Nothobranchius furzeri: one gene and its partners. The protein of the gene in region 1 binds, or shares a complex with, the protein of each later gene. Links are inferred from orthologs where the notes say so. Each region holds a gene or a part of one and is shown in the gene's direction. Other genes may lie near its edges.

Region 1 (3,992 bases):
ACATATTCACAATCTGGTCCCTTATCTGTAAATTTAGCAGGAAGGTGTTTTTCCTTCCAATTTTTCTTTTTCCTTATATTTTCTGATCCTAATTTGAAAACAAGGCCATTTAAAGGTCAAGTTGTCAGATGAATGGGTGTAAATGGTTCCAGTGAGGTCTGTTAAACTCTAAATTCGGATCACTTTACAGTCATCGTTCCAAAAATAAGACCATATGGTCGCTGTTTTCACAAGTCAAGGGAATAACTGTCACATATGTTCACATAAGGCTCTGTGTTTGTCGGATTGAAAACGCATTTCCTCATGCAACTAAACGCTGCGATGGTGGCCGATAAACCGTTTCATATATTTCCAAGGCAGCAAATTTCAAAAGTACCTACCACCAGACCAGACGGTGTTATTCTTTCACCGCTACCAGCACCCTCTCCTCTCGAGTGCGATAGTAAACACGTTCACGTAAGAGGGAGGAGCCTCTCAAGCTCCTCCCAGAAACCATCAAAGATCAAATATGTAAAAAAAAAAAAAAAAATACCAACCCTCTAAATGTGTAGTTTCAAGCTGAAGAAAAACGGAAGTGATGAATGCTACATGAAGTTAGTATATGGAACTCAAAAGTATTCAAAATTCAATACATAAATAATATCTGCATGAAGAAATACTAGACAATCATGTAATCTGACAATAAAATGATGAAATAACAGAATGGTAAAAGAATGAAAAATATTTCATAATATTGAGCTTAGATTTTACATAATCCGTTATTTCATTTCATTGTCAGATTACATGATCGTCTAGTATTTCTTCATGTAGATTTTTAATACATAATGTCTTATTTGTATATTGAATTTTGAATACTTTTGAGTTCCATAAAAGACACGTGGGTTACAATAAATGGAAACAAAGTTAATGGTTTTTTGCACACTGCCAGAGTTTGTGTGTTTGTGTTTACATGATGAGGAGTGCAACTTTGACCTTTTCAGTGTTGAAATTTACTGATAAAACACACAATTTAACCTTACAAGTAGATCAATTCGTAGCTATGCTGGAAAGTTAACCTAACTAAAACGTATTTTGTTAATTTTGTTGTTGTGCGGCGATCGTATCAGAGTGCGCGGGTGTTTATCTTTGTTCACAAACGATCTTTGTTCTTCCGGCTCTGCTCTGGTCTCGCGGCAGTTGCAGGAACGCGCGAAATCCAGAAAACACAAATCCGGTCGGCTACGCTGTCAGAGAACGACCAACGCTTTAAAATACTAATATTAATATATAATTTAGACGCCTACGGCGAAGCAAATGGTTGTTTAAACATATATGACGGTGTTGCAGCTGAAAAACTGAATCAGAGGATGGTTTTGCAAAACAGCGGACGGTACAGGGCGGACCGTGGACAAAGTGGAGCAGATGTGGATAACCAGTAAGTTCGCTTGTAATTTCTGTTTATTAGATGTAATTGTGTCTGTGGAAGTACTTCAGCGTGTTCCAAAATGAGACGAAGAGCTAATGTAGCTGCTTGTCTGAACCAGGGATGATGGCTCGTCGGCCGTCAAGCGGCTCGAGCGCAGCCAGTTCACTGACGACATGGACGCTCGTTTCGGCTTCGAGAGGATGAAGGAGCCCGGGGAGAAAACAGGCTGGCTGATCAACATGCACCCTGTGAGTCCACACTCTGAAGTCTACCAGGTTTCTGTCTCAGGAGACATTTAACGCGTTTGTTCGCGTTTGTAGACGGAGATCCTAGATGAGGACAGGAGGATGATCAGTGCTGTAGACTACTACTTCATCCAAGAGGATGGAAGCAGATTCAAGGTTGGTTTATTTAAAAAGCCTCATGCTGGATGACATATTAATGATTGATGTTTATTCTGCCCTGACATGCTCTTCCTGATCTTTACTCCTTGTAGGTGGCACTTCCTTTCAAGCCTTATTTTTACATTGCTACTAGAAAGGTAAGTCTGATTTTGATTCAGGTTTTGAGTCGTTTTATCAGATTCCTATAGAACTTAATTATTCTTTTCAGAACTGTGAAAGGGAAGTCATTTCATACTTATCCAAGAAGTTCCAAGGAAAGGTGGCAAAACTCGAGATGCTTCCAAAAGAGGACTTGGATCTGGTCAGTTTTAGTTTGCAGTCAGAGGATCCATTGTTGACAACGCACTAAAAATCTACTTCTCAATTTCTGCAGCCAAACCATCTAGTGGGCCTGAAGAGAAACTACATCAAACTGTCGTTCAACACCGTTGATGATCTCATCAAAGTGAAGCGTGAGATCGCTCCGGCTGTAAGGAAGAACCGAGAGAGGGAGCAGTCCAACGACTCCTACACCTCAATGTTATCAAGGTAGGAATGATCTGTTGTGTCTGCTGGGTTCCTGAAAGCATCACGTTCCTAGTGTTCTCTGGATTTTGTTGTTTTAGCGCTCTGTCAGGTGGCAACGTCACCTCAGCTTATGATGATGGGATGTCGAAAAGTATTGTGGATCAGCTGGAGAACATAGTGGACATGAGAGAGTACGATGTGCCCTACCACGTCCGACTCTCCATCGACCTGAAGATTCATGTGGTGAGGACACTTTATAATAAAACCTTGGATTATTATTTACATAAATGTTGTAATAATCTGTGCTATCTCTGCCTCATTCAGGCTCACTGGTACAACGTTCGTTACCGTGGCAGCGCATTCCCGCCAGAGATCGTACGCAGAGAGGATCTTGTGGAGCGCCCGGTACGTATATTTTGTTTTTTGTCTTGAAAACACATTATTTATTCTCACTGATTACATTAAGTCTTGTATTATTGAAATTTTTTTTTTTGGATATTTAGGACCCGGTTGTTTTGGCTTTTGACATCGAGACAACCAAACTTCCTCTGAAGTTCCCAGACGCAGAGACGGATCAGATCATGATGATTTCCTACATGATAGACGGACAGGTGGGTTTAACACAGAGCCGTTCGCAAAGTTATCCTTTACCTCATCGTGTTTGCGTCAGTTTGCCAACTCGTGTTTTATTTCTTCAGGGGTTCCTGATCACAAACAGAGAGATTGTCTCTGAGAACATTGAGGATTTTGAGTTCACTCCCAAACCGGAATACGAAGGGCCTTTCACTGTTTTTAATGAGGCCGATGAGGTCTAGACCTGTGCAGATTCAGCTGATTATTACCGTATGAAGTGCTTTTGCATTAAAGTGTTTCTGGTTGCAGGCTGGTCTCATTCAGAGGTGGTTTGATCACGTTCAGGAGACCAAACCAAACATATTTGTAACCTACAACGGAGACTTCTTTGACTGGTGAGCTGATTGTAATTAAAAACTCACAGCCCAGTTTTTAAATCACGTTTATTCTTTGTTAATGGGGAAAAACTTTATAAAATATCCAGGATTAATTTTAAAAATAGCAGTTTATTAGAAACTTCTATTTTGTGAGGGTGTTTTTGGTCCTCTTCAGGCCTTTTGTCGAGACCCGAGCTGCCCACCACGGCCTGAGCATGCACAGGGAAATCGGTTTCCAGAAGGACAGCCAGGGGGAGTACAAGTCCAGCCAAGCCATCCACATGGACTGCCTGAGGTGGGGATGATTCTGACTCCCACCTACTGACAAGGTGTGCTGATTATTTTAATGGGAATTGTTTTCTCACGCGTTCATTCCAACTTTTACCAGGTGGGTAAAGAGAGACAGCTACTTACCTGTGGGAAGTCACAATCTCAAGGCAGCAGCCAAGGCTAAACTGGGCTACGACCCGGTGGAGCTGGACCCTGAGGAGATGTGTCGCATGGCAACGGAGGAGCCACAGGTCCAGAAACAAGATTTGAGTTTTAAATCCTATAAAAGAAAAGATTAGTCAGTTAAAAATACATTTGTTTTTCTTTTCCCACAGACTTTAGCCACCTACTCTGTGTCTGACGCCGTGGCCACGTATTACCTGTACATGAAATATGTTCACCCCTTCATCTTTGCGCTGTGTACCATCATCCCCATGGAGCCTGATGAGGTTCGTC
Region 2 (4,186 bases), on another chromosome or scaffold:
GAAAACTGTTGTGATGAATAAGTACGAATCAGGAGGGCTTAACGTCCTAGACTTTTCTACTTTAAATAACACTTTCAAAATTAACTGGGCTAAACATTTTCTTAAAAACCATACCTCTATCTGGAACCTTATACCATATCATATTTTCTCTTGTTTTGGTGGCTTTAATTTTATTTTAAATTGTAATTACAATGTTGAGAAACTCCCTATAAAACTTTCACCCTTCCATAAGCAAGTCCTCTTAGCGTGGACCCTCATTTATAAACACAACTTCTCACCTCACAAATATCTTATCTGGAACAACAGAGATATTTTATTTAAAAATAAATCACTTTTCCTGGAAACTTGGGTCCAGAATGGGATCCTATTGGTGGCTCAGCTGGTTAATAAAGAGGGACAACTACTTACTTACATCGACTTTATTGCCCTATATAATTTCCCAATCAGTGTTCAGGAATTGTCAATGGTGCTTGGTGCCATACCCTCAGGGGCTTTAATGTTATATAAAAACACTGACAGCTCAATATCTACCTCAGTCACTCTCCCTAATCCAGTTGAGTCACCAATAGGAAAAATCTGCTTTTCTCTAGAACTTGGTAACAGCAATAAGAGAATACGTAGTTTATTACAGAAAGATATCGTCTCTCTCCCGTATATAATATCTTATTGGAACCGATATGTTCCAGATATCAAGTGGAAGACAGTCTGGATGATCCCCCAGAAATATTTTATTGTAAATAAGGTGAAAGAAGTCTCATTTAAACTTCTACATAAATGTTATCCAGCCAGTCATTACATGGTAAAATTTAAAAGGGTCATAAACACTAATTGTACTTTCTGTGGGGATCATCCAGAAACTGTGACACATCTTTTTTGGTGCTGTTCTTTTACACAAAGATTCTGGAAGGAATTTAGCAGGTTTGTTACTGTCCATATTTTAAGGGAGTTTTCTTTACGATGGGAAGATGTTTTGTTCTGTTTCTTTAAGTTCCCCATGAAGAATGATAAATGTTTTTTTTATGATAAATCTGTTAATACTTTTAGCTAAATTCTTTATTCATAAATGTAAGTTTACTAACAAAACACCAAATTTCTGTCATTTTTAAGCATGTGGAATTGTACATAAAATCAATATCAGAATCCACCAACAAAAAAAGCTCTCAAAACAATATATATGTGAATTTTTGCGTGTATTCTTATAATTGTTACTTTTTTCTTTTACCTCTGGCTTTGTGTGTTCATGTTCTGTTGTTTTGTATACTTCATTCGTTTCTATGTTGTATACTCATTGTTTGTTAAATAAAGTAAAAAAATAAATAAACGCTGACGTTTCCTCCTCCAAGGTCTAGCTCATCGACATATATACGTCTAGCTGCAGACTGTTATTGAAAATGTTGGCTGGTACTTTTAGTTTTCAAGACAGGAAGTACGTCATTCGCATCAAGGTCAAAGTTCATCGTTGACGCAGGCGGACTTGTGGTGGTTGAAAGCTTCGCGGGAAACGTCCCGAAACAAACGACGGTTTGAGCAGCGGCGCGCGAGCTTTTCACGTTAGAACGAGGGATTCGAGTCACGTTAACTACGCGCGCTGACATCTACCGGAGACTCGACCGGGGGGAAACGGAGTGGTTCGGGAGAAATGGCGGAAAGGCCCGAAGACCTAAATCTTCCCAACGCGGTGATCACCCGCATCATCAAGGAGGCGGTGAGTGAAACCCGCCGGGTCCGGGTTCCACCGGTTACCGTCTGATTCCACCCACTGTCCGGATTAAACAGACCACAGATCAGCTGTGTGTTCATTCAGTCCCAGTTTACAGTTGTTGTGGGTGTTGGTGACGTCACATGAAACCAGAGACGTTCACGGTTTGGCTCTTAGAGCTTTGGTTCATCAGATCTCCTCTGGTTGAGGGTACTGTTTCTAATAACAGCCCACGGAGATGGAGATAATTGCCTTCAGGCTACTGGCCCTTCAAACATGACAGATCTGTAAGAAGGATGAGAAATTAAAGGTAACCAGGGTTAACCAGTCCCTCCTGGATTTCACCAGCTTCAAGAAAAGTCTACAAAATACAATTTTACTTGCCCTTGTCATGTTCTAGAAAACAAAACCATTTTATAGTCAGTGACCAAAAAAAAAAAAAGCAATAAAAATCAGATTTGGGGTTTTAGATTCTGATCTAATAATTGCTGCATTTTGATTTAAAAGGAAAAAAAAATCTGCTCAAATTCAAAATGAGTCTGAATCAAAAATAACATTCAGATTCCGTTTGTTTGAAATGAGAAAATTATCAGTACTTCATATTTATTCCGGAGTTAAGACCTTTTAATTATAAGTCATCTCTAAATAAATCTGATAAAGTTCAGTGTTTTGATGATGAATCTGAACGATTTTGGTCATTTTTAAACGTTTTGACACGTTCATGTGTGAATTAGCTTTTTGTGAGTGAAAAAGAGCAGTTGCGAGCTGGCTCTGACTCCAGAGTGAAGCTCTGAGATAACTCCTCCGCACCGTTTGTTTCTCACAGCTCCCAGATGGGGTGAACGTGTCCAAAGAAGCTCGCAGAGCCATCTCTCAGGCAGCCAGCGTGTTTGTGTTGTATGCAACCTCCTGGTGAGGAAAAAAAGCCAATAAAACTGCATTTTTGTTCACAAGATCAAGCTTTTAACACATTTGTGACCCAGCAGAAAGACCTGGATGGTTCCCGTCAACGCTCCTCAAGCCAGTTTCCTTTTTCCTTGCAGTGCGAACAACTTTGCCATGAAGGCTAAAAGGAAAACTCTGAACGCGGGAGACGTTCTGGCTGCCATGGAGGAGATGGAGTTCGAGCGGTTCATGGAGCCTCTCAGGGAAGCTCTGGAAGGTGAGAACATCATTAAGAATAGTCTGTCAGAAGACATCAGCAGGCAGCAGATCCAGTTTGAGGCTGGCTCTGTCGGAATGCCGAATCATGATGGGGTTCCAAGGCCAGTTCCTTGGATTTCCCACTCTGGACGGACCGTAAACGCAGCATTCTTGTAAATGTGGTTTTCTTATCAGATTTTTTTTTTTTTTTTTGTGTCGATAGGAACTTTTTCACCCCTGAGTAAACACAGAAAAGCCATCAGGTTCAAGTTCCTGCTGAAGCTTCCAGGTGTTCCAGCAGCCGGACCAGCTAACAATGTCTTTGTTCTCCACAGTCTATAAGAAGGACCAGAAGGGAAAGAAGGAGGTTTCTGAGCAGAAACGCAAAGATAAAGAAAAAAAGGTTGATTCTGAGAATGACAAGAGCAGAGAGGATGACGAGGCTGATGAAGAGGAGCAGCAGCAATGCATGGAGGAGGAGCCTGAAGAGGAGGTGGAGAACTGAGGACTCCACCCACATCTTTGGGTAGCTGATGTTAGACCGGACACACACCCGTCCAAACTCGCAGGAAACAGTCGGCCCGTTTCTTTATGGGCCTAACGTTTGAGACTTTTGATCCTGCACCAGGTCACCATCCATTCTGACTCGTAGGTTCCCCTCAAACTTCTGTGGTTGATTTTGGACCTCTGATATCAGAGTGAAGACTTTCACTGGGTTCTGTTTTAGAATGAAATCCCAGTTTTTTTCTTTACCATTTGTACTGTTGTAGTCATTTATTACAAAAGTCCTTCAATAAAAGTTTGTAATGAAACCTTCAGATTTGTCTCAGATCAGACAGGAAGTCTTCCTGTTGCAGGTTACCTCCACAGCAGGGGCCTGAGGAAGAAGGTTCCTCTACAACACAGTTCAGGAACCCTCCAAGGATCAGTGACCTTGGACCCTTCAGCACACAGAAGTCATCTAACCACATGACCAGGAGTTACCTTAAGCACCATGTCCAAACCATCGACATAAATATACAAAAAAAAAATAAAACGATAAAATTAACAGCAGGTCCACCTCAATGGTCCAAACAGCCTGATATTGGCCCAACCCCAATACTCACACTGCCACACTAGCTCAATACTGACCCAGGTGTGTGAGGCGTCAATTCTCAATGGGAAAGCCGATCACGCCCGCTTTGCACCCTTGATCCGCACTTCACCCAAGCCTGCAGTGACGCAGACTTGGGTGGAAGGTATTACACACAATCCATCGCCGCAGGAACATCTGAAATGCTCATTTTCCAACAAAAGTTCATTTTAGGACATTAGTTAATGCTCCAACATTTTAAGACAAAGCAA
Region 3 (3,820 bases), on another chromosome or scaffold:
TTAAAACACCAATACATAAAGAATAAAAGCATTTTACTTTCTTAAAGGTGAGTTAAATGATAATTATATATAGTTAAATCAAATATAACATAAATGAAAGGGTTTTACCTGGGAGCTGTGGGTCCTTCATGTCTGTTCCCGGAGGCTTTGACGCCGGACTGTGTCCTTACGTGTGAAGAGATCCTCAGAGGGCTAAAGCACTCCTCCCAATCCTATTAATACTGTGTATTAGTGGCCTGATCATCATGTCCTCTGGCACAAACTGACCTCATAAAAATGCTGAAAACATACTTTTGAAGACTAAAGCACCTATGTACCTAAGCATATAGCACATAATGTTGGTTATTTGTTGGTGATTATATTAAAACAGCTGTTCTTAGAATAAACTTCATCTGCATACGAGTTTTAAACAAACGGTGAATATGATGTTCGTTAATTAGGTAATACTGTATAACTTCAGGAAAATCTTAATTTTTGTGATTGTTTGTCCTAAGAAATATATTTTTACAGATAGTTAGACCTATATGGAAACTATTGCCCTACAGATGTCAAGGAAGTAAAAGGTCAAAATGGCATTTATAAAAATATATATATATATATTTGGACTATCAGAGGGGTGTTGTGTGTAGTCAGTATTTAAACAGAGTTTAAGGCAGCTAATTTAGGAAATGTAGTCAGTTTCCCCCCCAGCAATCTAAATCCAGCAGCATGACTAAAGTGATGAGTTACTCAAATTTACCCTAACTGTAACATGTTTTATCTGAGAGTATAAGGATGGATCCTGGTCCAGAATAACACCAAGGATCCTGTCACTAGTACTGGAGGCCAAGTGAATGTCTTCAAGCTGTGATCTTAAAACTCTCAGGTCCAAAAAATACAGCCAATGTCTTCTCTGAACATGGAAATAGAAAAGTAAGAGTCTTTCAGGTCTTTAAGACATGTTTGTAATCTGATTACCTGGTTGGATTTTGTCCATCTCTTGACAATGATCAGCTAAGAATGATGGAGGTGGTGATGATGATGGTGTAAGCAGAGATTTAACAAAGAGACACTATTTCACTTACACATACTTTTTTCCAGAAACGTAAAATTGCTATTGTGATATAAGGCTCTTATCTGCCAACATTGTACTTTAAAAAGTAAACTGCAGGGAATTGATTTCAGTAGTTTGGTGTCTTCAGCGCCTTTTACCGCCCTCCAGTGGACCACTTGTGAGCTGACCCCAACTTATTTTTACTGTTTTTAATTTCTCATAATGTAGAAAAATAAAAATCACAACATTAAAACCTCTAATGCGTGAATTAAAACTAGAAATATCGCCACACAGCGTCACCAAATTGTACATTCACTCCAGAATCTTGCTGCTACATATTTTGACTGACGTCAATTCTAACCAATGACAAGGCATCCTTTAACAATTGTCCAATCACAGACGAGTATTTGTTGGCGGGGTCTGAGCTTTTGACCAATAAACACCATTCGCTCCACGATGTACCGGAAGCACATGCTGGCTCGAGGCGGTTGATGTTGTTGTCTGGGACGTGTAAAATGAGAGATATTCGAGTGTTTTTATAACAGCAAAACACGATTGTGAGGCCATAGGAAATGTCATCAGCAACGCCCGTTCCCTCGGCGGAGCTCGAAGCTGAGCGGTGCGGGAGTGAGGAGGAGAACCGTGCTGTGGAGGCAGAGGACCGGGGTCAGCAGCTGACAGGCCCGGCCGTCGTGCCCCATAACCGTCTGTCCAAACTCCCGCTGGCCCGCATCAAAGCTCTGATGAAGACGGATCCAGACGTGTCCTTGGCTAGCCAGGAGTCTGTGTTCATCATCGCTAAAGCTACGGTAAAACGGTTTACTCAGTAAGAAGGTCAATGTTTTCATGTCACGTCCCCCACGTTTTATCTAGAATAAACCTTTTAGTCCACAAAATAGTTAATATAAACCAATTGCCATTGTTTAATGCAAAACACACGTGTTAGTTTCAGGTAAAATACACCAAACCTACAAGTTTGACCTAATTTTCCCTTTTTTCCAGGAGTTGTTTGTTGAGATGATTGCCAAAGATGCTATGGTGTATGCTCAGCAAGGAAAGAGGAAAACTTTACAAAGAAAAGACTTGGGTAAGAGCTGAAACATTTCAAAGTGACTTCAGAAATTGATTCCTTTTATTTTGATACATTTTTTAAAGTCATTTTTAAGAGTATTTCGAAATTAAGAATACTTCTAGCAACATAATTTTATAGAAACAAATATTGCTACATCAAGAGGAGCCAGTTAAGGTGGCTCGGGCATCTGGTTAGGATGCCTCCCTGGACACCTCCCTGGTGAGGTTTTCTAGGCATGTTCAACTGGGAGGAGACCTAAAGGAAGGCCCAGGACACGCTGGATGTTTTTGGGCTGGCCAGGGAACGCCTTGGGATTACCCTGGAGGAGCTAGCCCAAGTGGCTGGGTAGAGGGAAGTCTGGGCCTCTGTTTAGGCTGCTGCCCCAGCGACCCGACCCCGGATAAGCGGACGAAGTTGGATGCTACGTATTTGTGTATCTCCATGAAAAGTGGAAGTGCTAGAGAATATAATGACTTTAAAAGTCATGTTGTTCAAAACAAAATGGTGATTATATATAAAGAAGGAAGCTTTAGTTAGGTTGATAGAAATCACTAAGTGCCTCCTGATTTTTATTTCGAGAGGCACTATATAAAAGCTTGTTTCTTCTTCATTACTCAGTAGCTAAAAAGCAGTATTTATGTTAATAATAATGTTATAATTTCATCTGGTGGAGAAAACACTTTAAACAGGCATGAAGTGATTCAGTTTTAACAATATTAATAATAATAATAAATGAAAATATTAATTGCACACTCTTCTACTTTTCCTCCACAGACAATGCAATAGAGGCCATAGATGAGTTTGCATTTCTTGAAGGTAAATCATAAAAAAAGACATGAAACAATCCTGCAAAGTTTTGCAAATTATTCCATGTCATCTTTTGACTCTGGTATTTTAACTTCACCCACATGCAGATGTGTTTGTGTGTCTTATCATGTTGACCTCTTTCCTCTACAGGAACACTGGATTAAAGATTTTTTATAAGACCACATTAAAAAGATCCTCAACTGTCTAAAATGTGTTTCATTGTTGAATCACAGAACATTTTTTCTAAGTCAACCTCACAGATTGATTAAATGTTTTTATATGACAAGCTCTAACTTTGAATTTGTCTGATATTGTGTAAATGGTTTTGTAAATATGTGAGTAATGTTACTGGAAAATGGAATAAACTTTTGTTTTAACAACACATTTTCATCTTGTGTGGAAACTGCAGAAATATACAATTCCCAGTAATGGAGTTTTTAACAGAATTGTACAATTATAACATAATTAATTGAAGGTTGACTTTTTTGTTTTAAAAACACTTTTCTTTTATTGGTTGGATAAAATATGCAAATTTTTTTAGATAGGGATTTTGGGTTTTCATGAGCCGTATGCCAAAATCATCAATATTAGAAACAATGAAAGGCTTGAACTACTTCAGTTGTGTGTAATGAATCTAATATATATGAAAGTCTGTTAATCTGTACATTACAGAAAATAATGAACTTCATCACAATATGCTTATTTTTTAGAAGGACCTGTATCTGCTGTATTTGGGATCATTGTCCCATTTCAGGACCCAGTTTTTCCAGGTGTGGCAAAACAATTTAGATTTCAAATGTCACAACAAACTTGGCAGAGATGACAAAGCTGCTAATAACAACTACTCTTATTAGCTTATCTTAATTTACACAAGTTTATCATATAAATGGATGTAGTTTTGGGGGGTG

The links.
Region 2: pole (region 1) and pole3 share a complex: the UniProt entries of both Homo sapiens proteins name them as parts of the DNA polymerase epsilon complex. The link is inferred for Nothobranchius furzeri from reciprocal best matches to the Homo sapiens genes POLE and POLE3.
Region 3: pole (region 1) and pole4 share a complex: the UniProt entries of both Homo sapiens proteins name them as parts of the DNA polymerase epsilon complex. The link is inferred for Nothobranchius furzeri from reciprocal best matches to the Homo sapiens genes POLE and POLE4.

What each region holds. Positions count from the first base shown.
Region 1 is NC_091757.1:45,294,769-45,298,760, reverse strand, and holds the start of pole (DNA polymerase epsilon catalytic subunit A), read left to right. Parts: upstream 1-1,172; 5' UTR 1,173-1,346; coding exon 1,347-1,414; intron 1,415-1,523; coding exon 1,524-1,653; intron 1,654-1,725; coding exon 1,726-1,806; intron 1,807-1,901; coding exon 1,902-1,946; intron 1,947-2,017; coding exon 2,018-2,110; intron 2,111-2,182; coding exon 2,183-2,337; intron 2,338-2,414; coding exon 2,415-2,559; intron 2,560-2,640; coding exon 2,641-2,721; intron 2,722-2,819; coding exon 2,820-2,927; intron 2,928-3,014; coding exon 3,015-3,125; intron 3,126-3,198; coding exon 3,199-3,284; intron 3,285-3,441; coding exon 3,442-3,561; intron 3,562-3,654; coding exon 3,655-3,787; intron 3,788-3,871; coding exon 3,872-3,985; intron 3,986-3,992. UniProt on the Homo sapiens protein: Catalytic component of the DNA polymerase epsilon complex. Participates in chromosomal DNA replication.
Region 2 is NC_091749.1:66,564,623-66,568,808, reverse strand, and holds pole3 (DNA polymerase epsilon subunit 3), read left to right. Parts: upstream 1-1,451; 5' UTR 1,452-1,639; coding exon 1,640-1,705; intron 1,706-2,525; coding exon 2,526-2,611; intron 2,612-2,742; coding exon 2,743-2,861; intron 2,862-3,177; coding exon 3,178-3,347; 3' UTR 3,348-3,660; downstream 3,661-4,186. UniProt on the Homo sapiens protein: Accessory component of the DNA polymerase epsilon complex. Participates in DNA repair and in chromosomal DNA replication.
Region 3 is NC_091748.1:55,970,066-55,973,885, reverse strand, and holds pole4 (DNA polymerase epsilon subunit 4), read left to right. Parts: upstream 1-1,483; 5' UTR 1,484-1,605; coding exon 1,606-1,842; intron 1,843-2,035; coding exon 2,036-2,120; intron 2,121-2,879; coding exon 2,880-2,921; intron 2,922-3,062; coding exon 3,063-3,076; 3' UTR 3,077-3,294; downstream 3,295-3,820. Other genes in the region: serine/threonine-protein kinase NIM1, read right to left, coding at 109-130. UniProt on the Homo sapiens protein: Accessory component of the DNA polymerase epsilon complex. Participates in DNA repair and in chromosomal DNA replication.